3 linked regions of the Lytechinus pictus genome follow. The protein of the gene in region 2 purifies or fractionates together with the protein of the main gene of each other region. This does not show direct contact. Links are inferred from orthologs where the notes say so. Each region holds a gene or a part of one and is shown on either strand. Other genes may lie near its edges. The genes, in order: cleavage and polyadenylation specificity factor subunit 3-like, symplekin-like and cleavage and polyadenylation specificity factor subunit 2-like.

What was found.
Region 1: the proteins of symplekin-like (region 2) and cleavage and polyadenylation specificity factor subunit 3-like purify together in Drosophila melanogaster (affinity purification with western blotting; 3 studies listed by BioGRID). This does not show direct contact. The link is inferred for Lytechinus pictus from reciprocal best matches to the Drosophila melanogaster genes Sym and Cpsf73.
Region 3: the proteins of symplekin-like (region 2) and cleavage and polyadenylation specificity factor subunit 2-like purify together in Drosophila melanogaster (affinity purification with western blotting; 3 studies listed by BioGRID). This does not show direct contact. The link is inferred for Lytechinus pictus from reciprocal best matches to the Drosophila melanogaster genes Sym and Cpsf100.

What each region holds. Positions count from the first base shown.
Region 1 is NC_087250.1:4,453,841-4,464,595, forward strand, and holds the start of cleavage and polyadenylation specificity factor subunit 3-like, read left to right. Parts: upstream 1-6,713; 5' UTR 6,714-6,799; coding exon 6,800-6,870; intron 6,871-10,755. UniProt on the Drosophila melanogaster protein: Component of the cleavage and polyadenylation specificity factor (CPSF) complex that plays a key role in pre-mRNA 3'-end formation, recognizing the AAUAAA signal sequence and interacting with poly(A) polymerase and other factors to bring about cleavage and poly(A) addition.
Region 2 is NC_087251.1:31,990,015-32,000,918, forward strand, and holds the start of symplekin-like, read right to left. Parts: upstream 4,671-10,904; 5' UTR 4,532-4,670; coding exon of another isoform or gene 4,432-4,531; 5' UTR 4,134-4,431; coding exon 4,044-4,133; intron 2,659-4,043; coding exon 2,536-2,658; intron 2,135-2,535; coding exon 2,061-2,134; intron 544-2,060; coding exon 411-543; intron 1-410. Other genes in the region: glyoxal reductase-like, read left to right, coding at 4,432-4,531. UniProt on the Drosophila melanogaster protein: Component of a protein complex required for cotranscriptional processing of 3'-ends of polyadenylated and histone pre-mRNA. Involved in germline stem cell transit amplification, differentiation and mitosis-to-meiosis transition.
Region 3 is NC_087251.1:22,717,801-22,728,563, reverse strand, and holds the start of cleavage and polyadenylation specificity factor subunit 2-like, read right to left. Parts: upstream 5,114-10,763; 5' UTR 5,073-5,113; intron 662-5,072; exon of another isoform or gene 448-661; intron 1-447. UniProt on the Drosophila melanogaster protein: Component of the cleavage and polyadenylation specificity factor (CPSF) complex that plays a key role in pre-mRNA 3'-end formation, recognizing the AAUAAA signal sequence and interacting with poly(A) polymerase and other factors to bring about cleavage and poly(A) addition.

The sequences.
Region 1 (10,755 bases), on a different chromosome or scaffold from region 2:
CTTTTTGCTTCAGTTTGAGCAGTTTGTCTTAGCATTTTGCTTGTCTAAGAAATCGTCCCTAACGATATTCTATAAAGACATTTGTCTCAAGTCAGACGATATGGCTGAGCCAAAGTCTCAAATTCTATGACGTCATGAGAAAATTGCAACGTCACGCAACTTTTGTCGCGAACGTAAAAAGTCTGCGCGTTTTATGTGTAATTAAAGCAATTATCAATCAAAATTTATCAAGATGGAGGCTGAGAAAAAGTAAGGCCAATTTCACTGAAGGAGAGAAATTTACGCTAATAGCAGAAATAAGAGAAAAGGAAGACATTTGGAGACCCACGCTAAAATAAGACAAAATGCTTAGATGTTTTCTTAAGCATGCTTATCTCATTTATGGAATACGGGCCCAGTACCATAATGGGGTGAAAAGATGAACCATGTAATATATGCAAATTGTTAACGACAATTGTTATCACTATATAAAAGGTGAAAATGTACCTTAGGATGCAAAAGAGCATTTCTTTGGGCAAAATTTAATAACCATTTATGATGAAAAAGTGGTGGAGGGTGGCTGCACCTTTTACCACTATTAATTATATGGCGGGATGGGCTAGCCGATTGGGACATTTTTTTTCTCTCTCCCCCCCCCCCTTAAAAAAAATTGGCGGAGCAAAAAAAAGGGGAGAAATAAAAAAATGAAGGGGAAAGATAAAAGGAAAATAAAGGAAATTAAGAGGAGGGAGACGAGTGAATAAAATAAGGTGAGGGGAAGACTTGCGAAAAAATCTGTTATGTCACTATATAAAATGTTCTCTCGCGCTTCGCACTCGCATTGCCTGTTCGATGAGATTCATATTTTGCTCAATAGGCTGATACGGAGCTTAAAGGCCACCGCACACCTTACGACTGTTCGCGATCCGAATTTGGAACAAATAGCATTTTGCTCATTTTCTGAAAACGTGAATAAAACATATAATTTTATTTGAGGTTAAAATTAATTGAAAGAATACTAAAATCAATTTTAAAAGATTGCAAGCCTTTATTTTTTAGTAAAGGCCCAATTAGTTTCAAATCGTAGCCAATCGTACGACTGCTATGACGTCATTACGACTAGATATTAAATTCGCTTTTATTCTAATAAGGATGAGAGCATAGTCACAGATTTGAACATAGCAATTCGTATGATGATTTAGAACATAACACAGTAAGATATTCCAAGTCTCAATATTAGCATCAAATTCTACTTCATTTTATTCTGAAATCGGGTCGCAGACCAATCGTAAGGTGTGCGGTCGCCTTTAGATATCAAGTTCTGAAGTCAATATTTCTCAGTTCGGACATCGAGCTGACGAGCTTTCATATTCTTTTTTATTTACAACTTGATTTTTTTTTTTTACTTTGTAAGTGTTCTGTAAAATGTCCATTTTATGGTTTAATACATTTTCAGCTCAAGCTGCGCAGTTGCATTATTTGCTTTACCAATTTCCTATTGTCTGTGTATTCCATAGAGTTCTCAAAATATCCCTTTTCAGTTGGGCCATCAACTAGCGCTGCACGCTCGTATTTTATTGGTGCGTTATGTATACCTATTAATTCTATCACAAGCCACTAAAAATTCCCTTTTCATTACAGTTTATAAAAACAAATCGGCTCGCGATTTGCCTTCGCATTATTGTTAAAAATGTATTAACCCATGCGTCCTATTAGTGATTACAAAATTCTTAAAATGTCCAGTTTTCAAGCTTTAACATCAACAAAGTCCACGCTCTCATTAAGCATATTAATAAATAAGAAAATATCATTTTCATGAATTCCTAATAACTAAATTGGCCCTTTTTCAGAATGGAACATCGACATTTTTATATCGTGCTTCAATAGGAATGATAGGAAGATAGAAAGAAAAAATGTCCTTAGAATGTCCCGGTCCTAGATCAAAATGATAATTCAAAAATATCAGCCCGCGCTTCGCGCTCAAATCATTTATTAAGTGTGGTCCACATCCACATCGAAATATTCCTACACAGGGCTTCAAAAGATGCTTAAATTAAGAGTTTTTTATCAGATCGGAATAACGAATGTTTTCAGCTCGCGCTTCGAGCTCGCATTGTTGATCTTCATGATTAAAAAAATGTATTCAGAATTATGCCCAGATTCTAAGCCTAAATCTAGAACGCGCACACGCATGTTTATTGAGATAAGCAGCTTGTTCTGTATTCAAAATGTGTTTAAATTATCTAGTTTCAGAACAGAATATCAATAATTTTATGCTCGCGCTTCACGCTCGCATCATTTCCATATCAGATTCTATTAAACCTATTTTACAAATGTTTTGGAACTTGTAATTGATTTGTAATCATTGTTATCATATTTCATTTGTATTTGTTTATATTTATAATGTATCTTTGATTTGTATTTGCTTATAATGTTGATAATGGAAATGAAAAATAAAACTTGAACTAGCAAGATACCCAATAACCCATCTTTCTTCTTCTATTTCTCCTCCTTCTTCTCCTTCATTTCTTTTTCTTTCTTTTTTCTTCTTCTTCTTCTGCTTCTTCTCATTTTGTCTTTCTATTCTTCTTGTTGCTAATATTAAATTCTGATTTTTTTTTCCTTTGCGCTTTCATTATGTAAATAGTATAATTTATCATTTTATTATCTTAATTCTATAGTCATGTCGAGGAACCCACTGGAAATGAGCTTTCGTGGGTTTTCCTGTGCAAGCATGTTGTTTTTAATGCTACTGTTTATATGTTGTAGTGATTTGCCAAATAAAATCAATCAATTCATGATTTAATATTAATACAGTGCGTATAAAAAAAAGGGACAGATTTGAAAATTCTATAAAATTTTTGTTTCAAATTATAATGTCTATATTTTGGTGCTCTAAGGTCTTATCTTTCAAATGCTTTTGAAAAAAATTTAGTTTCGTTCATGCTTGAGCGAACACGGAATGTTTTTGTCTGGGGTTAAAATGGAGGCTTGTGCCAAAACGGCATAGAATTATAAATATGATGATCGGACTTCTTGCTAATTAGCAGACTTCCTCTTAACCTATTCATTATCTTTGCCATAATTTTTCAAATCATGCGGTCAAAATTCATTTTCAGATCTATTTATTTGCTTGAATTGTTATGTTGTTGTTTCTTTTTAATATGCTCTCTGTTAGCTTTTAATATTCCTTCTTCAAGCTAAAACAATTTTGTTTTAACGAAGTATGGGAGAGCGTGGATTTTTTTTTCAAATCCTTTCATTGTGTGCTACAAAGGTTATGGTGCCTTTTGAACAGTGCCACAAAGATGGGCGGGGGCTTGGGATGCTCCCCAACCCCCTTAATTTAAAAAAAATCATGACCAAGAAAAAAAGTGGACAGGAAATAAAAGGAAAGATAGAAAGTAAAATATGATATTATTTTCTAAATATTATGTCAAAATCTATCACAAAATTTGATATTGTAATAAAAAAGTGGGAATATTTGCGTGCTCACTTCGCTCGCTCACAACTTTTAAATACATTTTAACCGATCTGCCACATCTAGCTCCTTCAAAATTGACTCGATACACCATTGTCATTGAAAGACATGAATCCCTTCCTGTGTTTCCTGTCAAGCAATTAAACTTGGTCAAGGAATCAATGACCCTTTGAAAAATAGATTCATGTCTTTTAAAGGTACATAACATAATTTGTTTCACAATAATAAAAGGATTTGAATAATCACAAGTTTTCCCAATTAATAATACAAATCTTTTTGCTTGGGTTGACAAAAAATCTTCTTTTCTCACTTACTTTTGAAGGAAAATTAAAAGGTAAGAGAAGTTTAAATGAAAAAAACAAATAATTCAAGTAAATAAATAAATTTGTAAATAAAATTTGACAGCATAATTCGAAAATTGTGGCACAGATAATGAAAAGATCAAGAGGAAGTCTCCTGATTAGCAAGAAGCCTGATCGTCATATTACTCGTATTCTGCAATTCTGGCGCAAGCCTCTTTTTGAACCCCCAACATAAACGTCCCGTGTTCGCTCAAGTATGAACAAAGTTAATTTTTTTTAATAGCATTTCAAAGATAAGACCTTAGAGCACCTATTTACACCAAAATATATATAGACATTATAATTTGAAACAAAATTTTAAAGACGTTTTTTTTTTACTCACTGTAGAGTGTCTCGTTTTAGGTCTAAAATCTAAATTTTCGCTCGCATCGATCGTTAAGTTACATACAATAATAATAAATAATATACAGTTCTTGCATCAATTGTTTAGTTACATACAACAATAATAATAATATACAGTTCTTGTATAGCGCATATCACATTATGAATAATGTTTTTTACGCGCTTCCAAAGGACTTATTACCCCAGCTGTAGCTTGGCAGCCGTAATTACTAAGATTACAGCGCAAACGCATTTCAAGGAATAAATTCCTGCCAGGTACCCATTCACCTCACCTGGGTTGAGTGCAGCACAATGTGGATGAATTACTTGCTGAAGGAAACTACGCCATGGCTGGGAATTGTACCCACGACCCTCTGTTTCAAAGTCCGGAGACTTATCCACTGGGCCACAACGCTTCATAACGCTCCACATATCTATACCTATTCCTTTCATGATTACAAAAAGTGCTTAGAATTTTTTTTTTTTTTCAGGTCGGAAAGTCAAAAATTGTCAACTCGCGCGCTTCGTGCTCGCATTATTTGTTGAAACATAAAAAGTTTGGTAGCAAAAGGGGTTAGGTCCACTTTAGACCATTCCGAGAAAAATCATGTTTTTTATTCTCACTTATTGCAATATTCTTGTGAGAAACTAAATTGTCATGATGTACTACCCTAGCATGTGAACGTAAAATTGGGTATAAAAGAAATCTACCTGTCTTAAATTTTTACTACATATTTTTTTTTTTTAATATCATTCTGGACCCATCCCCTTTTGCAAGCAAATTGAAATGAATCCAATCTCTTTTGAATAAAAAAAGTGTTTTTTTTTCTTTGCCACTTTTATTCACGTTTTAATGTGAATTTCAAATTTTCTTTGGTATCATCGGACAGACTAAAAATTTATAGGTTTTGAGACAGAAAACAATAAAATTTATGAAAAATGGACCTAACCCCTTTTGACAAATGAGCTCTTCAAAAGAGTTTGGTTGCAAAAGGGAATAGATCCACTTCAAGATTTTTTTTTTATTCTCCCATATTGCAATATTCTTATCCAAAACTATATTTTTATGATACCCTATACCATGTAAACATAAAATTGGGTATAAAAGAGTGTTCTCATATTTTTTTTGAATAGGCATATTCTTTTCCATGTCTTTATGGACCTAACCCTTGTGCAACCAAACTGAATTGGACCTAACCCCTTTTGATAAAGGAAAATCTTTTCTTTGGTTTCTTATAGAGCTACTAAAAATCTATACATTGAGTCGAAAAAAAAAATGATGAAAAATTGACCTATTCTTTTTGCAACTGAGCTCTTCATGGGTAACTGTAAACAGTTCTTAACAGGTCCCTTTTCGATCAGGCCAGAACGTTAATTAAACATTCATGCTCGCGCTCGGCGTTCACAGTAATTACCTAGTTGTTTAGGATAAAAAACATTGCCCCTTACATTTTCATGACAAAATGCATGAAAGTAAACAACAAATTAGGTCGCGCTTCGCGGTTGCTCTTTTATTTATGGCTAATGAGGTTATTTCACTTGTTTTATAAGAATAAAGCTAGGAATTAGTGACTATATGAGGACTATTCCTTCAAGGCTTCAAAAAACATGAACAAACAAAAATCTACTTTAAGCGGCCGATCGGGGGAAAATATGGGTAAAATAATTTTGGGCCTCGCCTCCTATGGGACGGATCCGCCCCTTTGACATAATATATACACAAAGAGAATAAAAAATTTGCCCCCAATCAAAAAGCAAGGACCATACCCAGGAAAAAAATCCTAGCTACGCCACTGTAGGGTGGTGAAATTATCTTGATAAAGCGGACCCGCATGAAAAGGGAACATTTGTAAAATTAAAATTCAAGCCTTTTTTTTCGTTTTCATTATACTTGCAGTACAGACTAAAAGAAATGGTGCTTGTACTAGACGTGGTTAAAAAACCCAACAACAACAACAACACCAAGAATAACACAAAAAAACATCTAACATGTGGGAAAATTTCGAGATACATAGGCCTATCGCAGTATAGGTTTGACGAAATAAAAGAAACGTTTCTCTTAATTAGTTTTCCCCATCATTCCTTATTACTATTTTGCATTATTAGTAATACTAGTAATGCAAAACTAATAATAAGGAAAGATGGGAAAACTAATTAGGGAACCCATAACGTACTTGTAAAATTAATTCCCCTGTAGTGGTAAAGTTTATTGAATGAAAGTCATTCGTGGCGAAAATCATATCAAATCAAGAAAAACAAAACAAACATAAAACAAGTAATTAATTAAACGAAATAAACTCGTCAAAAGGCTGTAAGAGTTTAAACACGCAAGCTCAATGAGGTTTGGGAGAATATTGTAAAACCAACACCTTTATTTTGATGAAAAGGATTGTAAATCCCTTCATGATTTAAGTTTATGAAGAGCATATTGGGACGATATAGAAGTGGGGAAGTGTTAATGGAATTGGGATTAGAATAATTTCCTGTGAGAGCCAAAAAAATACAACAACATTTTCGTCAACCTCTAGCTCACAATTCGTTGCTCTAGCTAGCTCCCTGCTCGCTGATTATAGAGGGCGACATTTTCTTAATGATCGCGCGTGTGGATTTGTTTGTGTCGTTGAAATTTTATGAAAATCGCTTATAATTTGAAGCAATGGCTGCCAAAAGAAAGCCAGATGCGCAGATCCCAGAGGAGGAAAGTGACCGTTTGATTGTTCGACCATTGTAAGTATTTTTATTTATAATTTTTTTTTCTCTTGGGCTCTATTTTTTGCCCGCTATTCCAATGTCCCACCTATTCACTTTGGCGTTAGCTAACATCACTAATAAGAGGATTTACAGAATGAAGTCCTACGAAATTTACCAAACGATGTGAAGTCAATTTCTCCTAATATGATGAATAACCCTCAAATACATAGCGTCATTTAAGCGTTGATTTTCTTCTCGTTGACAAAATACGGCCCAACCTTGCGAGTTCTCAAATTTTTTGTCTAATATTGTCTAATGACATGTCGAGCGAAAGAGGGCGCGCGATTTATCTTCATAATCATATCAAAGACACTAGGCCTACTACAAGGGAGAGACTAGACACAAAAACTATCTTACACGTAAATCGATGCAAAGCGTTACGCGAAGTCGGCAAAGTGTCCAATCTTTTTACTGTAAAGACTTTGGCACTGGCAGTAGAGGCGCACGGCCAATATTGCACTCCTAGTACCAATGAGGTCCAAACATTACATGTATGGACCTCATAGGCGACATCAGTGATAAAACCGGTTAGACATTGCCGTTTCTATTTGCACCCAAGAACTTTGGCAAATGTACGCCTTAATACATAGTGGATGGTAACAATTTAGGTATTAATTAGTTTTAAACATGATAAGGAAACTTCTACGACATTTGAAATTTAATGGATTGAGGTTAAACTTACATTTTCAGTCTTTTTTCTTGAATTCTTGGTGAGCGTTCCAAACGCTGTGGGGACTGATCAACTACGATGTGATTCACGTACTGGTCAGCTGATCGGTCAGGTGATCGGTTGGTTATCTTTTTGTCAGACGTTCATAATTTATATTACAATATATCAATCTTCAGTATCTTGATTTCAAGCATCAGTATTGCAGGGAAAAGTCATTATCGATTGGAATCAATGGCAGATCGGGGGGGGGTTGAGCATTTCTGGCCCGTTCCACCTTTTGAGATTCATAGTCAATATTTTGGCACTCATTCAATGAACAAGGTTATGATATAACCTTGTTCTCAGTTATATCTCCATGTGTGGCAAAATAAGGATGGCAATGTTTGGCTTATTTTCTCTTTTTCTTTGGGAAAAATGCTTGATTTTTTTACACTGACAGTTTCCATCACAATTATTCGTTATACGACTTGGCCCTTAAGTAAATTTGATTCTTTAAATTATTTTTTCTTAATTAAAAATAGAGATTAAAAAATGACAATTTTCTTGCCATATTATTTTCTATCAATAGAGGGCGTACACAAAAATATGCCCAAAATTCAAGTTTTTGAGCGCTCTAGTGAATACAAAAATTATTCCCAAGTTACTAATGAAAAATAAATTGCAACTGTATGGAAATTAGTAATTTTGGTCATAAAAGTGATATTTTAATCATTTTTTAAAGTGTGTGCTGTGTACAGCATTGGCATGCCATAGTCCTACCTGTAGATTCTCCACAGGCAGGATGGTTGCAGTGAACAAGTGTATTTTGGATGTAAAAAAAAAATGTCGTTCGTACAAAGTTAATTCCCCCCCCCCCCCCACCTCCTTATGAGAATCACAGCAATATTTGTAATGGGGATATTTTGTTCATATTCTTTGCTCTTTTTTGTCCTTTTCTTTTTTGCTTCCCAAATTTATTTTACTTTGAACATATGACTTTCTATATTTAATGACAAACTTTTTTAGGGGGGTGGGGGCTTGCCAAATATAACGCGCGACAAGATGACCTTCTTTTTTTAGTGACAACTTTTTTTTTATTTGTCAAATTTTACGAGAGACAAAATGACCTTCGATCATTATTAATTAAACCTTTTTTTTGGAGGGTAGGGGGCTCGCCAAATAGTGACACACTTTTTTTTGTAAAATGTTATGCAAGAAAAAATGATCTTCAATCATTATCAGCTACCTTTCATTTTTTTTAGGGGGGGGGGGGCTTGTCAAATTTTACGTGGGACAAATGACCTTCATTTTTTAGTGATTTTTTTTTTTATACTTGACAAATTTTAAGAGGAACAAAATGGCCTTCAATCATTTTTAGTTAAAACCTTTTTTTGGGAGGGGGGCTTGCCAAATATTTCACAAACAAAATGAACTTCAATTTTAGTGACCATCTTTTTATTACTTTTAAAATTTCACGCAGGACAAAATGACCTTCACTTTTTTTTAATGTTATGTTATATCGAGATTTTTTACCTGACTGCTAAAAAAGCACGAATGCCTGTGAGCAAGCAACCAGGGGACCAACGGCTTAAGGTCCTCTCCGAGGGACCTGGTAATGAGGATAAGCCTTAAGGACGTTCCACAGTTATATTTGTGCGCATTATGATCTGCGCATAGTTTACACTCTGCGCGCTGACGTCACAATGGATGAACAGGTGATTAATTAGCTGCGGGTATCAGCTGATTTTTCTCATCTTCTGCACTTTAACTGCAGATCCGATGCGTTATTTCATGAAGCTAAAAAATTGAATTATTCCATGGACCATTCAAAAAAATATTCTCTACAATTTCAAAATACTTTACTCTGCAGTGCTGCCAAGAATCACGAATATTACCCCGAGTTTGAATAAATGGTAGAGTGGTTTTGATTTTTTCTTCACATAGATACTAAGCATTCGGCCCATTTTTGGTGTTTTAAAAGGCACATTTGCTCTAATAAAAATGCTGATAGTTTAAAAACAAGCACATGAACCCCTATTTTTTAATGTTTGTACCTCTTAGGTATACCTTCCTCTACAACTCTGCAAATTTTGGTGAAAATGACATGGATTTTGAATAAAGTGCAGCATTTATTGTACGTTTGTAGTTTGTTACTGAAATTTTACATTTTTTAGATTGGGATTTTGTTATCTTTTACGCCATTTTTAAGAACTGACAGTGCTGTTAAACTTAAAATTGCAAACAAATAGCACTATTAATAGATTCTCAATTCTAACGATACAATTATTAACTCTCTTGCGAAATTTGATGACTTTTTCATGTATTTTGACTGAGTAATGGAGGTTTAAACTCATTGTAGTAATCTTGGGCGGTCTAAAAATGCCAAATTCTTTTGAATGCGCAATTCTTAAGAAAATCAATTTGGGTGAACTTTGAAGCTCTATAGCAAAAAATCAAGCACATGGACCTATGTTAATTTTTGCATATTTCGAATATTAAGGTTCTAAAGTATCTATGTGCAAAGTTTGGTGAAAATGACATGGATTTCACTTTAACTGTGGAACGTCCTTAAGGGCACTAGCGCACCACTTGGGAATCGAACCCGGGTCACCGGAATCCGAAACCCCTGCTCTACCGACTGAGCCATCGCGCCTCTGATATGTTAAACTTGGGGGGGGGGGGAGGCTTGCCAAATATTACACGGACAAAATGAGTCTTTTATTTTTAGTAACCATCTTTTCTTTTTACTTGTCAAATCTTACGCGAGACAAAATGACAATTTTTCTGTGATAACCTTTTTGGGGGGGTTGTCAAATTTTACTTGAGAAATAGCACCCCCCCTACTTTGGAAAATCGAAGATTAAGATCATGAGTATAGCCTACATCTCAGAGGCATAAACAGATGGGGGCATGGCTGGCCATCCCCCGAGTGGATTTCACCTGAAAAAAAAACATAGGAGCAACGGAAGGAAGAAAGAAAGAAAAATGAAAGAAAGAACGAAAGGAAATTTAAAAAGGAAAGTAATGTGAGAACAAATAATCCGGGGGGGGGGGGGCTACTCAGATAATAAAAAAATCTGCCATCTGTAATTAAATTGGATTAGTTAATATCCAGAGGTCCCAGGGCTACCAACATACGTGTAGCGCGGGCAGTGCATGGCGTACCTAGGATTTTCCACAGGGGGGCAAAATCGGCCGCCAAAAAAAAAGGA
Region 2 (10,904 bases):
AACTGGTTACTTGAAACAGGAAATGCATTGGACCTAAAATGATGGAAACTTGCTATTGATTCAATGTAGCAAATGCTGAAATTTCAATCATCCAATCATGTTTTTTCTCTCTCTTGGGGTAGGGGGGTTAAATGGTTAACAAGTAATATCATTGACCTATCAAAATAACAAAACTAATGAAAACTCTTAAAATTATCAGTTTGAATATTGAAGCTACAACCAAAATTGCACTAATGAAGATTTTACAAAAACATTAAAAAAAATATTTGTTCACTATGATAGAGATATACAGAAATCTGAAAAGGAATCAGGAATATTTTCTCCATCAAAGATACTTTTGAATACAGAGGCAAAATGGATTACCATTCTGAGATAAATATTAGCCCCCCCCCTGAACTTTTCAAACTTACTTTGATGGTCACTCTGAACAGTTGAGAGGTACATAAAATGACCCTCTTGATGACCGCAGCAGGTTGGTTTTCTTCTGTTAGCATCATATGAAGACGAGGCAACACTGTGCATAAAATCTGATTGTCTTTCTTGCTGCATCGAGGAAAAATGAACAAATAAACAAAAAAAAAGTTAATGATATAATATTAGCAGAGATGCTAACTTTAAATTTATCTTTCAGGGAGAATTTAGTGAGGAAGGTGGGAGATCTTTCTTGATTACATGCAATCTAATGAAAAAAATCAAATGTATTAATTAATGAGATGTAGAAAATTTGCAGCCCTGCATCATGTGGGAGATGGTATACGATTCACCATATGGTTTGTCCTGAAAAGCAAAAAAGAGAAGTGAGATTGAGAAGTAACTTTTGTGAAACAAGGTGTAGTCCTTTAAAGGACTGTAAACCAGATGAGACTGATGACTCAGATGAGATTAGATGAGAAGTCCTGATGGCGTTAAGTGGAAAATAAATAGATGAGTTGAGAAGTCCTAGTGGTGATCAGGAGATGAAAGGGGACAGGTAAGATGAGCAGTGGTGAGTAGAAGAGTTGAGGCGTCTCAAGATGTTGGGCAACCTGACTGTCAATCACCCAGGGTCCATCATCATGAAAGATACTTCTCACTTTCACCTTTTTCTTTCTCATCTTTCATTTTCATTTCTATCTCTCCACCAAGCAGCAGTCTTTTTCTGGACTAACCACATTTATGGTGAACCTTAAACATTTTTTCATGATATCTGTAACACCATGCAAACCTTCGAAGATCATCTGATATAACATTGTTTCTTTCATGATTGATGTATGCAACTAGCATTGACTAAATGCCATGGACACATGATGCATGAAGTTTTAAAATAACTGACACAATAATATCCTGTGGAGGAGCCGTGATGTAGTGGTTCTGACTCTCGCCTTGTAAACAGAGGGTCGTGTGTTCGAATCCCACCGCAGTCTGGCGTCCTTTGGCAAGGCGTTAATCCACACTTTGCCACTCTCGACCCAGGTGCTAAATGGGTACCCGGTAGGATGTGAAAGTCTTTGTAGCTTGTCCAGTACTGTGTGCGCCTCACCGGCGACTGACTGGAATACTCCCCAGGGAGTGGAGGATGTGCACACATTGTGTGCGGGAATGACTGATTGAATCCGATGACCGGGGTAATAATATATCTGTAAAGCGCTTAGACACGTCGTTCCGATGTATTAAGCGCTATATAAAAAACGGATTATTATTATTATTATTATATACAAAAATTTATTAATTATATATAGGCTGTCAACTTAAAATGTATATGATCTACAAGTACAGCCCTAAATAAAAAGCCTCAAAAGGCAAAAAAAACCAGTGCTTTAATTACTGTGCTACCTTCTTGAGGCTATCAATTTAATATTCCTTTCTAATTGAAGGGTCGTGTGGGATGGGACTTGCAGATTAATTTGAAATAAGTCAAACTCTTTTTTCGGGGGGGGGGGTGGAAAATTGTTTACTTATTAGAGAGTTTTCTTAAGGGATGATCTGTTCTCCATGTTTTTCTTTATTCAAAGACAAAAACAACAAATTCTTTGGTATTTTGCATTATAAAAGTAGAATGAAATCAAATGTAATTTTCTTACCAGGCACATTCTGCAAAGCTGAGTACAAATTTCCTTACTTCTATGGAATCATCAAACTGAAACTGAAGAACTTCCTGCACAGATAAAAAAAAAATCTTTCATTATTTCAGTTTTAACACACAAAGCGTGTCACTATCATCAAGTTTATGTCTACCACTTCCCCTTCCACCTTCATTTTTGCTCCTACCAAGCAAGTATCACATATTCACATGCTATTTATGAAATCATATATACAGACACATAAGAGTATAATTTATTCACCTTTAAAATGACATCATTGTCATGGCAAACCTCTGTTTAGTTAGCCAAGATATATTTCTGGTGAGATGACAAAGCATATGTTATATAACTTCACATAATATAGAAAAAAACTGAAAAAGCCTCACAAAAATGACTTTTTTTTTAAGGTCAAGTTTGAAACACATGGCCGGATAGAAACATTTGGTAATGTTTGGAAAGAACAAAGGAATCTTACATCAAGAAAATTATCAAGTAGAGAAGGATCCTTGTCAATAATAAGTTGCTGGACTTGGGTCAAGTTGTTGATCTTCTGAGAATCCCTGGGTAAAGTGTGGGTTTGTTGCAGCAAGTCAACAACCTGTAGACAAGGGAGAAAAAACACACAAAAACCCCTTTACTCAACATGTACATAATTAATATGTCCAAACATGACAAATAATGTGTCTGGATAAACATAGCAATTTTAAGAAATATATTTAAAAAAAAAATTATAATTCAAAATTATTTAATCATAGTTGTCAACACTGATGGTTGTCAATATATTTGTGGTGGTGATTAAGAATCTAATGAGCATGACTCAATAAGAGTGGTTTCCCAAATTGAAATAGATCTACATGTAGGATGGGGGTTGTGTATCCGGACACTTTAAATCTTTGAAGTCTTGGGGGGGGGGGCTTTGGATTACAAAAAAATATGAATTTAATAGTTTTAAACTTCTTCAGTTTTGTTCTCAATAATATTGCCTAATCGTTTATAGTTAGGCCTACACTTAAAATTGATGAAACTTTTCTTGTTAACTTTCTCAAATGACTGTTTAAAATCAATTGTCCGAACACACAACCTATCGGGACACACACACACCAACTTGGTATACCAGTACATGAAAGAGCACACAAGGCAATATTTTCACTTTTTTAAATCACAGAAGATATAGGCCTAACTGAATGATCATTTGCTTTACATTATGTTTCTTCAGTTACATGTATGTAGCCCTGCAGCGAGAGTGTAGTCAGCGGATTAAATAAGGGGGTTTGATACCTTCCCTTCTCCTTTTTTTCTCCCATATTTTCTCTTGCTTTTGAATTTTGACAATTAGAACGAATCCCAGAACCCTTTCTGGATACACTGGCTTGAAATATAGTCAACCATGACAGGAGTGTTACCCCTTTTGTTTACACAAATAAGAACAAATTAATAAAACAAATTAGGGCCTAGTCTCACTCTCTATAATTATAAACACATAAAAAAGGGGGGGGAGTAACATCTTTACAAATCCAATGTGACAATGTCACAATTGTTTACGACACCATGATGATGATACTAATAATGTAGTGGAGTGACTAGTGTTAGAACGAGGCATCATACATGAGCAATTCATGAAATTGGATTCTAAAGCCAAAAGGGGGAGGCTAGTCTCGAAAGGCTATGTTGAGCGCTAGACACGGCCCATGCCACAGGATCCCTGGCTTTGAAATAGGCCATTTTATCAACATATTTTTTTTTAAATCTGAGTCTTCTGACATGACTCGTTTTGATTGGCCGAGGATCAACAGCTAGTAGTATGACCATGATGACATAGCCTAGGCCCTACGGCATAGTCTACTTTGTTGGATAAACAACCATCAAGTTCTTTAAGACTTTTGTGCTCTCTTGACTTTAGTTTACGTTCCCAAACTGTCCCAAGTTTTCAAACAAAATTGAGACAATGAGACTGATTGAGAATGAGAGAAAAAAAAGATTCACCCGATCGGATACGGTTTGTCCTTCTCCTCCATCATCATCGTCCATAAAAAATTGTGAAGCTACAGATAGCCTACTACTTCCGGCACTCATTTTTACTTTCACACGTACTGCAACAGTGAGATTACAAGAAGAATTACAGAGCAGACAAAATTCAGTTCATTTCACTCCAAACCCAGTGGCCGCCTGCCCTGCCTAGCCTGCGCATATGTATAATGCATGAAATATGCATGTGATGCATGCACAGTATACAGCCGGTATACCGGTATGGTATCTTTAAGAACATTTTCTTTGTAAAACCAACTCGGGGAAATCGCTCGCTTCGAACCTGAACCTCGTCCTCGGCCTTTGCCCATACCAGGAATCTCTTTTCCAGGAAAAAAAGGATCGAATGCAACTACCAGCTGATTTTTCCAGTCCGATTACATCACAACAGTGCATTGGGTGTAGTTTTGAAGCAACAATAATGACAAAACTTCCTATTTTCGGTCGTAAGTGTGGTATCATCGGCGTTAGTGCACTTTCGCATCAGTCACATCGTCCCCGACATCCGACCCAGCGGCAGCCGCGCCGGAAATCGGGCTGTGCCTGTGGAACACTGCTTGGTTTCGTCGGATGGTACGAAAGTGCATTAGCTATCATAATCTTTGGTTTAATAAGGTTTAGATCTCTGAAAAAAATATATATATTCTTTTTAAGTTGACTATATTTAGATCTATATTTTCATAAATTCTAAATGTCAATGAAATAAAAATAACAGTTAAATTGTGATTCAGATCAGGCCTTTCACTTTCAGGGTGACCAGATGATAGATCCGGGGGGGGGGGGGGGGGGGCACTCAGTATATAATGCATAGTGCCGTGGAGGGGACCCCCATTTTTACACTCAAATTTCTGTTCCAGGGCATGACATTTTTATCTTATCAGAGCTACCAAGTCTCAAACATTGTGCGTGAGACTCGCGCATCGAGGGTCCGTCTCACGCATGGCACCCATTTTTCTCACGCATCGGGACCCGACAGAAAAAGCCTTCGCATGCCGTCGCGTCTACCCCGGCACGTGAGACGAATCGAGAGTGCAGTCAGCGCACAGCTAGTACGTGATACGATGAATCGCGTGCGTGCATCGCATGGTTTTGTAGTATGGATCAATATCGTGATAAAGCCCATATCTCGCGAGTTGCGCGCGTGCCTTTTCGAAACGTACAAGTGTAAGTACTGGCTGCGCGCGTGCAGAGTCGCCGAGTCATGAAAATCTCACTTATAACATTTTTTTAAACTTGGCATCTCTGTCTTATTGAGAAAAAAAACTAAGAAAGTCGCTCCGAAGCGTAGCATTTTCTTCTTATCGAGAGAAAAGAAGAAAGAAATCCGCTCCAAAGCTTCGCATATTTTTTGTTACGCTGTTCCAGTAGCATTGATCCGCCACAATGAGCTGCAATTTTGGTGAAAAGCAGCCGCAGAGCGCTGTCCGACCATCGCCTCTGCGCGATCGCACCCGGCGGGCTGGGCTAGCTGCATACACGTATGCCTGTTCCAAAGGGATGCACACGCAGGCGACCCCAGGGTGACCAATTTTCACAAAATGAAATACGGGACAATCGACAAAGCACGCTGCACGAGCTGAATGACAGAACTAGGCCTTAATTTTTAAAACAGATCAACAGAGAAGGCTACACGATGTTAGACTTGTGAAAAAATGTAAAGAATTGGAAGGGAGGGTGGACGAAAGAATGAAGGAGAGAAAGAAAAGGGATGAATTGAGAAGATAGAAAGAAAACGAAGGGGAAAATGAAGAAAATAAGAAAAAAATAAAAGGATGAAAGAAAGGATATAGTAGAGAAAAAAGGTTTCCCTCATTCTTTGAAATGAATATAAAAAGAAAGGAAGGGAAGATGAATAAATATGTGAAAGAAATAATAAAGGACAGCCAAAGGAAAAAGAAAAAAAAGGAGAGGAAAGAAAAATGAAGGAAAGAAAAGTGTTTCCTTCATTCTTTGAAAGAAAGAAGAAAAACAGGAAGGAAGGAAGGAAAGATCAAAGGAAGGAAGGGAGAGAAAGAAAGAAAGAATAAGGGAAAATTAAAAGGAAAAATAAAGAAAGGATGAAGGAGAGGGAGGAAAGAATGAAGGGAGGAGGGAATGAAAAAAAAAAGGAATGGGAGGAGAGAAAGAACGAAAAGAAAAGGAGAGGAAGGGAGAAGGAAGCAAAGAAAAAATTAAGGAAAGAAAGAATGAAGGAAATAAAAAAAAAGTAGGAAAGTAAGAGAAAGAAAGAGAAAGAAAAATGAACACAGAGAGAAAGGATCAGGAAATAAAGATATATAGAACAAAAAAGGGGCAAGCAGGAAAGATAGAAGGATGAAGAAAGAAGTTCTAACTTCAAGCAAACAAAAAAATCCAATCATCTAACAAAAATCATAATAATAATAATAATAATAAGCATTAATTTATATAGCGCAGCTTTTATATGGATATATTCAGCTGCGCTTGTTCAGAGCTCTTTTTACTTATGTCTACACAGCATATTTTCTTAACTAAAGAGATATGTTTTTAATTTTGATTTGAAGAGAGCCAAGGATGGAGAGCTTCTTATATCAATTGGCAGGCTATTCCATAGTTTGGGGGCAGCAAGTGCAAATGCACGATCACCAAGTGTGACTTTTGTTTTGTGAAATGGGATCTGAAACAATAATTTATCTGTGGAACTTCGCAGGTTTCGACTGTGTGATTGGGTTTTAAGTTTGAGTAATTCTGTAATGTAATGTGGGGCTTGACCGATTACCGGGTAATGATTTATATACAATTAACAGAATTTTGAATGAAATTCTTTTATGTACAGGCAACCAGTGGAGTTCTCTCAGAAGAGGTGTAGTGGAACTGAACTTTGGGACACGGTAGATAAGTCTTGCACATGAATTTTGGACTCTTTGTAGCTTAGAAATGAGACTATCAGGCATTCCAAACAACAAACCATTACAGTAATCAAGCTTACTTGTAATCAGAGCATGCGCCACCAGTTTGATACTTTCTTGATCAAAGTATTTGCGAATGCGCCGAAGGTTATAGAGGAGATAATGATAATGATATTTGGTGTTTTTTAATATATTTTTAAAACTAAAATGGTTTAGAAATGAATAAAATGTCAAAGTGAAACATTGTCAAATTAAAAAATTAGATGAAACATCGCGGCATCATACAGGCATCTCTCCCATCCCACTTCAAGTTCGTATCGATCAATAACAAGACCAGGAACAGGACTCAAACAAAAGCCGAAACAACTAGATCTAGTTATGAAAACTCAATAACTTGTTCCTCCGATTACATCTCCAAATCAGTAATCTGAGAATCCATAATATAATTATAAAAAATTTCCCACCGATTTTGTGATTATTTTGGTGGAAAAACTGTTTATCATGTGAGTTTTTTGCACCATTGAGAATCTGCTCCGATTCTACATGCCTAGCTAGTAGACTGCCACACACAGGCAGGAGGCCAGATCATTTGCAATGTACTGTATTGGGTTAGCAAGAAAATCACCGCAGAACTCGCAAAAGTTTACAGTAAATTTGCTTCGTCATCTGTTGGTTATTTGATGAAAATTCGTCACTTTTATAATTATGTATATTTTGTCCCGAGAATGGTTTTTCAGAATGCCGGGAAAAAGGAGCAAATTACGGGACGATCCCGGGAAATATGGGACGTCTGGTCTGGGTGACCCGTTCCAAGGACCCCCGTTTTCATAAACATTTTTAGTTTCGAAGCCCTTTACGAGGATCCTCCTTTTTTACGATAAGTCCGCTCCAAGGCCCCCGGTTTTTGTCTCACCCGCGGCACATACCTACCAATTTTTTGGTCAAGTACCCCCCCCCCCCCGGGACCAGATTTCACAAAATGAAATACGGGACAATCGACAAACAAAGTCACAAGTATAACACAGTGTTAGACTTGTGAAAAAAAAACTAAAGAATTGGAAGGGAGGGTTAATGAAAAAATGAAGGAGAGAAAGAAAAGAGATGAATTGATAAGAAAGAAAGAAAAAATGAAGGGAAAAAAAAGAAAGTTAGAATAAAAGATGGATAAAAGAAAGAATAAAAGAATTTTTTTTTCCATCATTCTTTGAATTGAATATAGAAAGGAAGGGAAGATGAACAAATTTGTGAAGCTCAAAGACAAACTAAAGGAGAGAAAGGAAAAAAGAAAGTGAGTAAAAAGGAGGAGGAAAGAAAAATGTTTCCTTCATTCTTTGTAAGATTAAAGAAACAAAGAATGAAGAAAAACAGGAAGGAAGGAAGGAAAAGAAAGAATAAGGGGAAGAATTAGAAGGGAAAATAAAACAAAGAATGAAAGGAAGGAAGGGAATCATGAAGGGAGGAGAGAATGAAAAAAGAAAATATTGGAAGAGAAAGAACGAAAAGAAAAGGTAGAAGGAAGCAAAGAAAAGTTTAAGGAAAGAAAGAAAGAAGCAAATAAAAACGGATATTTAATAAAGAAAAAAAATGAACACAGAGAGAAAGAAAGGGTCAGGAAAGAAATATAGGAAATAAAGAAAGATGGAACAAAAAGGGCAAGCAGGAAGGATAGAAGGATGAACAATGAAGGATAGAAAAGAAAGAAAGAAGAAAAAAGTTTAAACTTCAAGCAAACAAAACAAATCCAATCGTCTAACAAAAACATAATGATATTTGGTGTGTTTTTTAATACATTTTTAAAATAAAAAAAACTAAAATGTTTTAGAAATGAATAAAATTTCAAAGTGAAACATAGTCAAACTTAAAAATTAGATGAAACATCGCGGTATCATACACACCAAGACTCAAAACGAAAGCTGAAACAACTAGATCTAGTTATGAAAACTCAATAACTTGTTCCTCCAATTACATCTCCAAATCAGCAATCTGATAATCCATAATATAATTATAAAAATTATTTTCCTGCCGAATTTGTGATTATTTTGGTGGAAAAACTATTTATCATGTAAGATTGTTTACACCATTGAGAATCTGCTCTGATCCTACATGCCTAGCTAGCTAGAAGCCTGCCACACACAGGCAGGAGGCCAGTTCGTTTGCAATGTATTGGGTTAGCAAGAAAATCACCGCAGAACTTGCAGAAGTTTACAGTTATCGATTTTATTGTTGTCTCTGCTTAGCCATCTGTTTGTTATTTGATGAAAATTCGTCACTTTTAAATGTATGAAATACATTTTGTTCAATATTCTGAAATACGGGACAAATAGGCGTCCCGGGAAGGGTTTGCCGGGACAAAAGAGCAAAATATGGGACAATCCCGGGAAATACGGGACGTCTGGACACCCTGTTGTGATTTATAATTTTGTATGATGGGGGACCTAAAAAGGTACGCACTTTGTTTACAAATAATAAAAACTATGCCAATTTTAATATTTGAACAAATTATTTTTCACTAATTTGTGGCAAACATTCTAAAGATCATTAACCAAGAAGAAAATAACCTACTAAATTCTAATACGAAAATCCCGCCGTGTTTTCCGAACACTTGATTCCGCCGCCCGATGTAGATAGAAGGGGTCCTAAAGCTACGCATTTGGTTTATCATGCAGAAAAATAGTATTTCCTGTGCTTCAATTTCTAAAATATGATCATATTAGGATAATAAGAAATTAAAGCGAATATAACTCCAAAATTCCAAACAGTTGTAGATTTTCTCTGCCTTTTTGATTTAGAGATTTACTGCAGCCTCTGTTGAAAAAATTGAATAGGAATCGTTCGTCACTCTGCGGTCACATTTCCACTCACAGAGTGTGCATTTGCCATTAAAAACTGCATGCGCGATGAGTGGTGCGTAGCTTTAGGACCCCCTACCATAAAATGCAGCTGCAGTGTCTGGCCTGGGGCCCATTTCTCAACATTTTTATAACTAAGACCCATAAAGAGCTACTTGTCCGCTAACTGTTTCATGAAGCCTTTTTTGCTAATACAGTTTCGCACTGGCTGATTTCGAGCAAATTTCTCCGCCAGAAATTGTTAGCAAATGTGATAGCAAGTCTCTCACAATCAGTCACATTTCGAGGTCCATAAACAACATGACCAAAAGATTTGCCTGTGAAAGCTCATCCGTTTGTTCATCACACGTTTGCATGATTTTGGTTGCTAACTTCAGTCCATATCAAACTTACGGCAAAGCGAAGGGAAGCAATATCTGACTGAGAATTCGAACAATGACATTGAGATCAAAGTCGAAATACAGCCGTTCCCGATTGCGATTTTTGTCTCACCTGCATAGCAGAGTGAGACTATAGGCGCCGCTTTTCCGACGGCGGCGGCGGCGGCGACGGCGGCGGCGTCAACACCAAATCTTAACCTGAGGTTAAGTTTTTGAAATGACAGCATAACTTAGAAAGTATATGGACCTAGTTCATGAAACTTGGCCATAAGGTTAATCAAGTATTACTGAACATCCTGCCTGAGTTTCATGTCACATGACCATGGTCAATGGTCATTTAGGGTCAATGAACTTAGACCATGTTGGGGGAATCAACATCAAAATCTTAACCTAAGGTTAAGTTTTTGAAATGTCATCATAACTAAGAAAATATATGGACCTAGTTCATGAAACTTATACATAAGGTTAATCAAGTATCACTGAACATCCTGCATGAGTTTCACGTCACATGACCAAGGTCAATGGTCATTTAGGGTCAATGAACTTTGGCCGAATTGGGGGTATCTGTAGATTTACCATCATAACTTTAAAAGTTTATGGATCTGATTCATGAAACTTGGACATAATAGTAATCAAGTATTACTGAACATCCTGTGCAAGTTTCAGGTCACATGATCAAGGTCAAAGGTCATTTAGGGTCAATGAACTTTGGTCAAATTGGGG
Region 3 (10,763 bases), about 9.3 Mb from region 2:
AAAAATATTTTAATGTCACACATGATTATTCAAATTACCACAACCATGACAACCATCACAGTTCACACAGTTGCTGGAATACACATGTCGTGTCTGTAAAAACTCAAAAGTCAAAGTCAAACATTCACTCACGTCACTCATTTTCAGACCTAAGTAACGTTAAACGGTTAAGTGCCAAGTGTCTTTGTTGCTGCCCTGATCAGTGTCTCTCTCTCTCTTACACACACACTAAACTTCACAAAAAGCCGGTGATGTAGCTCATATACAATTTGAATGCTATAATCACGAAAATGTGATATCATATATGCATGATACGTGCAAAAAAAATTGCGTGCACAATGAATTAAGGCATTACCAACAACATGACCAGTTGCAGCAGTGGAAAAAAGCTAATTAGGATAAAAACGCCCTTAAGACTAACAGAACGGCAAGTCCAGGGCTACTTACATTTAAATTCTTCAAATTCAGTTTTATTTGACGTAATTTAAAGTTGTTAAAGGCGTTATTTTCAGCGAAATTATATATCGTAATTTCTCAATTCTCCCCACTCGCACGTTTTTCTAGGTATCGTTACCGGTATACCGTTTTTCTACCAATGCAAACACGGTCGCGTCGAGTGATATGGATATGGAAGGCCAATAATATCGTAATTCGTACTGCCCTCAATCGTCCCGTTGTGAGTGAAAAACAGGATTTGAACAGATGGAGTAAAATTAGAAAAAACAAAATACTTAACTAACTTTCATCAAAACCGGACAAGGAATGACAAGGTTGTGACATTCTAAAGCTTTACACCATTGCGGTGAAAATTAGAATTTTCTACGTAATTCTTCATGAATATTCAATGAGCAATTTGATTTCAATTTCAATTTCATTCATTTCAATTAATCTTTGTCGATTTTTCATATTTACTATTAGTGGCGTAACTACGGGGGGCATGGGGGGCACGCCCCCCCCCCCCCTATCGGATGGGAGAAAGGAGAAAGGAAGAGAAATGTAGAGGAAAAGATGATTATGTTATGTTATATTACATAAGAAACATTTTTTCATAACTTTATGAAACATAATTTGTTCAGGGCTTAATTATGTCTTCATTATTCATGGTGCTCGCATATTCTGTTTAACGAGATATATAATCATGTTGTACTAAAACCTTCCGTTTTCAAGTCAATATACATCAAATATATTTCCTCGCACTTCGAGTTATTATTGTTTTATATAGTGACATAAGCTTCTTTTTCATGACTACTTAAAGTGATTGCCTCATTTTAAGTTTAATATAAAGCATTTCATGTCCGTGCTTACGTTCGCATTAGTAGATTGGTGAGGATATGTCTGCTTTTCATGAATTCCTCTAAAATCACACTGTAAAAACTGCGGTGTTAAAACTGACACCAGTTGGTGTTAATAGAGGACCACACCGTGAGGTGTTAAAATTACACCCTAGAGATTAAAAATAACACCAAAGCGTGTAAATGTAACAATCAAAGGTGTTGTAATGACACCTATAGGTGTAAAACTAACACCACCAATTCAACACCGGTGTAAAATAACTGGTGTGGTCCTCTATGTACACCGGTTAACATCACAGTTTTTGCTGTGCAGTCCTTAAAATGTCCCTTTTTCTAATATGAATATCATAAATTTTCAGCTCGCGCTCGCATCATTTAGTTAGTGAAAAACGTATGGTCTCAGTCAATTCCTACTAACAAGACTTAGAATGCCCCTCTTCAGGTCTGAATTTCCTTAATTTTCAGCTCGCGTTTCGCGCTCGCAATATTTGATTAGTGAGATGCGTATGATAATCATGATTACAATGACTACAAAAAGTGCGTCATTGTGTAAATGTAATTCTAACAAAATCAGCAAGCGCTTATATTGGCACTCAAATTAGATGACTATGGTGAGATATGATTCCTTTAAAAAATAGTCTTTAAAATATTCCTGTTTGGGGTCAATTTATACAAAAATTTATACAAAAATTTTAGCTCTCGCTTCGCGCTCGCATAATTTGGGTAGTAAAATTCGTATATGGTCTTCGTGAATTCTTACAAACAATGCTCCTCTTCAGGTCTGAATTTCCTAAATTTTCAGCTCGCGCTTCGCACTCGCATTATTTGATCAGTGAGATATCCGTTTAACGCCACTGTCCTTAAAATGTCTCTATAACATGTATTAGGTCAGTATACCTGGCAACTGAGCGCGCTTCGCGCGCTCACTAAGTGACTAAAAATGTTTGCTGGTGCCCCCCATGCCGTGACCCAAGGTACGCCACTGTTTACTATGATGCAGTTAGCACAACATAATCTCGTATCATTACAATGAGGAGGAGGAGGTGGCCAAAGCAGTGGCTTGTATGTGTAGGCATGCAGGTCGGGTCGTAGGCCCTGGGGGAGGTACGCTAGGTACGCTAGTGTATATAGGCCTATAATACTTTGTTAAAAATGTTTATAATGTGAGCAAAACTCATTTCCATGTGGACAATAAAATGAAATAGAAATGAATGATTCAATTCAATTTTAATTTATCAACATGTATTATGTTCATGTTTCACTTTATATATTCAATGCCATTCCGTCCATCAACATTTCGTATAATAACCATTTTGGTCCAATAGCCATTTCGATCCAATCATTCATCTAATCACCAGTTCGTCTATGAACATTTCGTCTCATAACCAGTTGTTCTTATACCTGTTTCATTTTCATTCACTTTGCCCAATGAATTAACACTGAGTCAAATATATGGATATGGACGAATGGCAATTGGACCAATCCCTGGGGGGGGGGGGAACTCAGTATATAATGCATAGTGGGTATGTGCCGCGGAGGGAACCTCCATTTTTACACTCCAATTTCCATTCCAAGGCATAGCATTTTTGTCTTATTGAGAAAAAGAACAAAGAAAGCCGCTCCAAAGCATAGCATTTTCTTCTTATCGAGAAAAAAAAAAGAAATCCGCTCCAAAGCTTCGCACATTTTCCGTTACCCCCCCCGGGGGGGGGGGGCACTTACATTGACGGATACCAAGCGCGACCCATTTACATTGACGAGTGGATACCATGCGCGACCAAAAAAACACGTAAAAAGGATGTATTTTTCAAGATAGGGCACGTTACTTACGTAACGTAATAAGGATGTCAAAAACACTAAAATAATGAAAAAAGGCCTATTTTTGCTAGGATCGCTACGTGTATATTTGTGAGGGTATAAAAAATTAAGACTAAAATGTTTAATAAAGGATGTACCTTTTTCCCCAAGAGTCAACACTACGTGTTTAGAGTATGATTTTCGCGAGGTGTGCATGGGAGGTGGGGCTGTACTTAAAGGGATGGTCCGGGCTGAAAATATTCATATTTTAATACATAGAGCAGAATTCACTGAGCAAAATGCCGAAAATTTCATCAAAATCGGATAACAAATGATGAAGTTATTGAAGTTTAAAGTTTAGCAATATTTTGTGAAAACGGTCGTCATGAATATTCATTAGGTGGGCTGATGATGTCACATCTCCACTTTCCGTTTTCTTATGTTATTACATAAAATCATAATTTTTTCATTATTTCATACTTGTGTGAATAATATGTCTCCCTTATAATGAAATAAGTTGCAGCAATAAATATCTAATGCACTAAATCAGTTTTCAATCCAATTATTTTAGTTCTTGGAGGAAAAAAATTGAATAAACCTAATTTCATATAACAAAATACAAAAGAACAAGTGGAGATGTGACATCATCAGCCCACCTCATGAATATTCATGACGACTGTTTCCACAAAATATTGCTAAACTTTAAAATTCAATAACTTTATTTGTTATCCGATTTTGATGAAATTTTCGGCATTTTGCTCAGTGAATTCTGCTCTATTTACTGAGCTATACATACTTTCAGCCCGGACCATCCCTTTAACCAATGATAGGTAAAGGTAAAACCGACGAACGACGTCCGTGACATAACAATTGAAATATCGTTGTACTTGTTTAGGGGTTCAATTCAGGGAAGACTTCCCTATAGTATCGTTTTGTTTCCAATACTTGTTAAGGGTAGGGTTTCACACGCCAATACTTGTTGAGGGGTGCATTTTCAGAATATGGAAAATACGTGCTTAGGGTGCTTTTCGAGACCCCATGGTCGCGCATGGTATCCACTCGTCAATGGATGTGTCCCCCCCCCCCCCGGGCGCGACCAAAAAAACACGTAAAAGGATGTCTTTTTCAGGGTTTCAAGATAGGGCGCGTTACGTACGTAACGTAATAAGGGTGTCAAAAACACTAAAATAGTGAAAAAGGGTATCTATTTTGCTAGGAAAACTACGCGTTTAGGGTCAAATTCGCGAGGGTATAAAAAATCAAGACTAAAATGTCATATAAAGGATGTACTTTTTGCCCCAGGAGTACGATTTGCGCGAGTTTGGCTGTACTAAACCCATAGCAATGATGTAGGTAAAGGTAAAACCGACGACCGACGTCCGTGACATAACATTGAAATATCGCTGTACTTGTTTAGGGGTTCAATTCAGGGAATACTTGCCAATAGCATCGTTTTGTTTCCAATATTTGTTAAGGGTAGGGTTTCACACGTCAATACTTGTTAAGGGGTGCATTTTCAGAATATAGAAAATAAACGTGTTCATTAGGGTGCTTTTTGAGATCTCATGGTCGCGCATGGTATCCACTCGTGGATGGAAGTGCCCCCCCCCCCCCCGGGTCCGTTACACTGTTCCGGCCGCTACAATGAGCCACAATTTTGGTAGCCTCTTGTCGAGGCCCTGTCGGCGAACAGTGTGAACATTCCGAGCGAACATTGCGAAGCAAGGGAGAGAGCGAAGCAGAGCGCCGCGAAACAGGGCCTCTTGACATCTGACCCGAATTTCACCGACTTTCTTTTCTTATTTTATTGTTTTTACCAATACATGAATATACCGACCAAAAACTGGTCGGTGAAAATCATCCAATGAGAGCGCGGGCTGCTATGACGTCATATTGAATATTCATGAGCTCATCTTGAATGGCGACCCGTGGATTCTTGGCGAAGAGTGACCGCCAGTATTAATAAAATAAAAGATAATTTACCAGACGGAGTATTGAGTGGGAGTGTGTGCTTTATTAACAACACGGCCAAGAGGCCGGATAAACGGATATCCGCGCGCTGTACAATGTAGCGACAATGCATTCATAATCAACACCTTGGCGTGACTCATTTTTCCTTCATATTTTCTTCTCCCTCATTATCTAAACTATCCAACCAATAGTAACAAGAACAACTCTACTAAATCTAACATAACACAATTCTATGTATCACCAACTAACATATCTAAGATTGTTAAGCAGATCTCATTTTGTTTTACTTCCTCTTTACAGCATAAAATATTAAATTGCCTTTCAACACTTTAAATCATCTACAAACTAAAAACCAGTCAAATGTCTTTCAACATACAAATCATTACTACTTGCATATAACTTGCATATAAAAAGATCCCATTAAACTTCAGCAATCATCCAAAAATACACATTACAAATCCTCATTATTAAGCAGCTTTAAAAGACACATATACATCATTTGACATTTTATCTTAATCTCCTTAATATCCATTCAAAAATGGTGAATGAGGCAAGTCTGCTAAAATAATAAAACACAGCAATAAAATACAATGACACTCTAAAAAGATAAATGAAGCCATACTAAACTCCAATCAAATTCTTATCCATAAAGAGCAAGAAACTTTCAAATAATAAAATTGCCTGCATACATAATAAATCCTGCCTATCAATTGACATAACATATATACATAAATGCACTGTTAAAGTCAAATACAAACAATATCCCACCATCAAAGGAGGATACAATTTATTCAAAATGCCTATACCAGATTGATAATAAAACAACAATAACAGATACATGACAGGTATGATGATATGATATGCATCAATAAACAAATCTAAACATTAATGTGAGGCAAAATAGCAAACCAAAACATGAGGATTATATTTGTACCAATGATTGCTTGTCAATAAACTATCAAAACACTACTCCATAATTAAACTGTATGCTGGTGTAAACAGTACAAACAATACATTAAATCAAACATGAGTTCTGCTACCTCTCATTTAGCATCAGCTGTCATTTACAATCTACCTCTTCACTCTATCTCTTTATCCCAACTTCACTTCATATTGGTAGGAAACATAACAACCTGCATCATGGTACATTCTTGCACCTTACACTCTACCTCTTCACTCTATCTCTTCATCCCACCTTCACTTCATAGGAACACATAACAACCTGCATCATGGTACATCCTTACACCTTACCCTCATTCATGAAACAACCATGTCAGTCACTCCAGTCAAGTAATACTCAGCACATTGTCTACCTCCAATGTAATAAACAAGTGAGCAAATATCAAATACACTAACTCACACATCAACAATCAATGAAAAAGTCACATCCTAAACTCAGCGATTATCCAAAACATAAATCAACAGTTAACTCTAATTACAGTGTCTAAATACACGTTAAAAAAGGGGGGAAAATGAGAAAGTACATTAAATATAATAAAAAACAATTAAGCCAGATTGACGAAAAAAAAAAAATACACAACATCAGGATAAACAGCAGTTTAATGGAGTACAACCTAAAAAATGTACATGCAAAAAGTCAACACATACAACATGTAAGGTCCAGTCCTAATAAGCACAAATCATATGATATGGGGTAGATGGGGGGTCTAAAGGGACGACTAGCAATGGGGCAGGGGAATGAAAGTCCAGGGCTTTTCGTACGAGAGGGGAAAATTCTGGAGGGTGGTCATGGGCTGTGGTAAACAGGCAAGGCTGGCTCGGGTAGTCATCAACCGCTGCTGGGATATCGGGGGTGATACCTGACTGAAAGATATAGGATGCCGTATGTGGACTGGAACCTGTGGGTTGGGAAAGATTAGGAATTATGGGCGGGCTACTGTCTTTGTGAGACAGGGGCAGAGGCACCTTACTAAAACATTCAGGGATGTCAGGAGAGATGGGTGTGGGACTACTCAGCTGAGGAATGGCAAATGGAGTAGGGGCCGGTAACATAAGTATGCCGTCATCAGCTTGGGGCCCTGGAGGGTCAGTGAAACTGCAGGCCGTCAGTTGAGGATGGTCAGTAGGGCTGGCTGTCATCTGAAGGTCAGTGTCAAGGGAACCATGGGCTCTCGAGGTAGGTGAACCGTGATCATGGACACCACGGGCCACTGTCTCCGAGGAACCGTGATCATGGGCACCACGGCCTACTGTCTCTGAGGAACCGTGATCATGGGCACCAAGGGCTGTCTCTGAGGAACCGTGATCATAGGCATCACGGGCTACTGTCACTGAAGAACTGTGACCATGGGCACCACGGGTGACTGTCTCTGGTGAGCTGTGATCATGGGCAACATGGGCTACTGTCACTGATGAAGAATTGTCATTATGGGTACCACAGGCTAAAGATGGAGGACGGTGATCAAGTGCTCTTTGCTCTACTGAAGGACCACGGTCACGGGCACCATGGGCTAGTGACGGAGAGTCGTGTCCATCGGCGCAACAGGCTACCTTCTTTGGGGTGGAATCAAAGGTGACATGATTTGGCAACTCTGAGTCAAGGACTGTATCGCCGGTTACTTTCATAGGGATGACTTCTGCAGAATCTGGTGGGTAGCGACAAGGGTGGTTATCAGTCATCTCTATGGTACGAACAATGGCCGGAGGAAGATTTCTTAGGCTATCAGTGTGTGGTTGGTCATGTGACTGGAAGTATCGTGTACCGATATAAGGATCATTGTACGAGGATTGTGATGTGTCATGTTTGTGGGGTGTCGTGTGTGAATGACCAGGTGAGTGTGGAGATGTCAAGATGTTCGACTCCAACTCAACCACGAAATCGTCACCGAGCGAAACGAACGAGCGCTGTTTGTTGAGTGGATCCGAATCGGTTAAGTTTGACTGATCAGCTGCTGGATCATGCAAGCACGGCGAAACGATCGAATGAGGCAAGCATGACTTATCATCTAACGAATCGGGCAAGCGCAGCGAAACGTGAGAATCGGACATGAGCAGCGAAACGATAGAATCGGGCTTGTGCAACAAGCAGGCCGAAACGGGCGAGTGCAAATCATCGAGCTCAGGCAACTGCACTTCTTCGTAGGTCAAACCAGAACCTGACAGATGAGAATGAGCCTTCGAGACAGGCATACGAAACTTGTCGGATGTATCAGGCACAATATCAGAAGTAGGCCTATGCACAACAACATCATTCACTAGAGGAGTAATGTGAACAACTTCACTGAGATTCCTGTTCGGTCGGTTTTGACTAACCCCACTTGACTCTACACAATTGGCGGAACATTCAGACTCGGAGGACTGGACATCCTTAGACACAACACTCAGATTCAGCCGACTCTCATCTGAGTAGACACCAAGATCTTGTTCACAATTCCCTGGGACTATAGCAATGGGGTCTGGCCTAGACACCACATGCATAGGATCAACATCATCATGAGTAGACTGATCTAGATCTACACGAGTATTCTTGCATACTAAAGATTTGTCACTCATGACACCACTTGGTTTACTATGATAGATGAAAACAGAATCATCACTGAATGTGATCAGATGCCTAGCTGGTCTAACGGAGATGTCATTTGCCTCCATAAATGGGGCACCAGCAATAATTCCAGTATTTGTCATGGCATCATCCTCAACAACCAAACCATCAAATTGTAATTCTAGGCCATTACAGAAGAGTGAGAAATAAGTCAGGCCAATGATACCATTCTTGTTTACATATTTAGGTATTATTTCAATGTAATCTTCTTCAATCATCATCTCATCAATCACTATCTCCAATCCCAATGTCTCTGCCATTGATTCGCTGATTAAATTCACCTCACACGCACTCCTTATCTCTACTTCTACTTCTTTCTCTTCATAGTTATAGTCATAACCGCCAACAGCATGGAAATATGGGGATATAACTGAGTTACAAGGATTGGAACACTGCTCCATTCTACTGTTAACCGCCACGCTCTCTCGCGAGGCGGTGCCCTTAGCCGCGGACACGCCCACATGTATCGTCGAGCAACTATTCATACTGTACATGAATATACGTTGAAGGGACTACACACACTCAAAATGCAAAAGAACTCAAACCTATCACCGTTAGGCTAACGGAGCGCCTGGCCCCTTGTTTAGAGTAAGAATTATCGGACTGTTGGTAGGATCACCTTAGGGCCTTAGGTTCAGACCACAAGCTGCCACCACGCCAGTATTAATAAAATAAAAGATAATTTACCAGACGGAGTATTGAGTGGGAGTGTGTGCTTTATTAACAACACGGCCAAGAGGCCGGATAAACGGATATCCGCGCGCTGTACAATGTAGCGACAATGCATTCATAATCAACACCTTGGCGGACGACGAAACATCAAAGAGCATTGAATATGCCTCTAAAATGCTGAATATTGACCGATTTAAGGATTTGCAAGTCGATAAAATTAAATCTGCACTGAAAGGACGAGATGTTTTTGTAAATCTACCCACAGCTAGATATGGAAAAAATGTTATCTTTCATGCGATTCCACTGTGTGTCGATTATCGTTCTCCGCGGTGCAGTGAGGGAATGCTGGAGTAGAGTTGTTTCCCCTTGACTCGAGTCTGACCAGCGGCTGACCAGTATCTCCCGGAAAGTTTCGGGGCGGTGATGAGTCTTTTACGGCCAGTACTAGTAGTAGTAGTAGTAGTAGTACCACTGCTTGTAGCATTTTGCTGGTTATATCCCCTTTAGTGTCCCGCAATTAATTGAATCCCCTGCAGAATAGTGGACTACTATATAGTACTCCGAACCCCGGACGAAACAGCTTTGACATTTCATTGGTTATATCCCCTTTAGTGTCCCGCAATTAATTGAATCCCCTGCAGAATAGTGGACTACTATAGTACTCCGAACCCCGGACGAAACAGCTTTGACATTTCATTGGTTTACTATAGTGACCGGTGATATTACAACTCATGTATATTCATTAGGATGACGTTCCTCATGAATAATTCAGATCAGATGTCAAGAGGCCCTGGCTCGTGCCAGGCCTAATTCGCGAAGCGAATTAGGAAATCCCTCGCTTCGCTCGGGAAGCAGCCGCCAGGGCCTCGACGAGAGGCTACAATTTTTGGTGAAAATCGGCCGCAGAGCGCTGTCCGTCGTGTCCGATCATGGCCGGTATTCACTAGCCTCTTGTCGAGGCCCTGGCGGCTGCTTCCCGAGCGAAGCGAGGGCTTTCCTAATTCGCGAAGCGAATTAGGCCTGGCGCGAGCCAGGGGCCCGTTTCTCAACACCGTCATAAGTCTAAGATCTTGACTAAATCGGAGATAGTGAGCTACTTGTCCGCTAACCGTTTCACGAAGCCCTCTTTACCAAGATCGGGTACAACAACCTCACTAAATATTTATGACACCTCCGAACCTGTCATAACTTCTTTCTCAATGACGTAGTGGCATCACGTGGGTAGACTATGACATGCAAAAGTGCCTAGAAATTTGAAAATAATAATCTTACGTAATCAATCATAGAGGTTGAAATTACATCACAAAAAAAGTGGGATAATGCATTCAATGATAATTCTAATACAAATAAACTATAAAAACTGTTTGGTAAAACGCCACAAAACCATTCACTTTGAAATAGTACAATGATTTAATCGATAAAGATTCTACCACGTCAGGCCATCCATAACTGGATTCGTATTTGTTGTT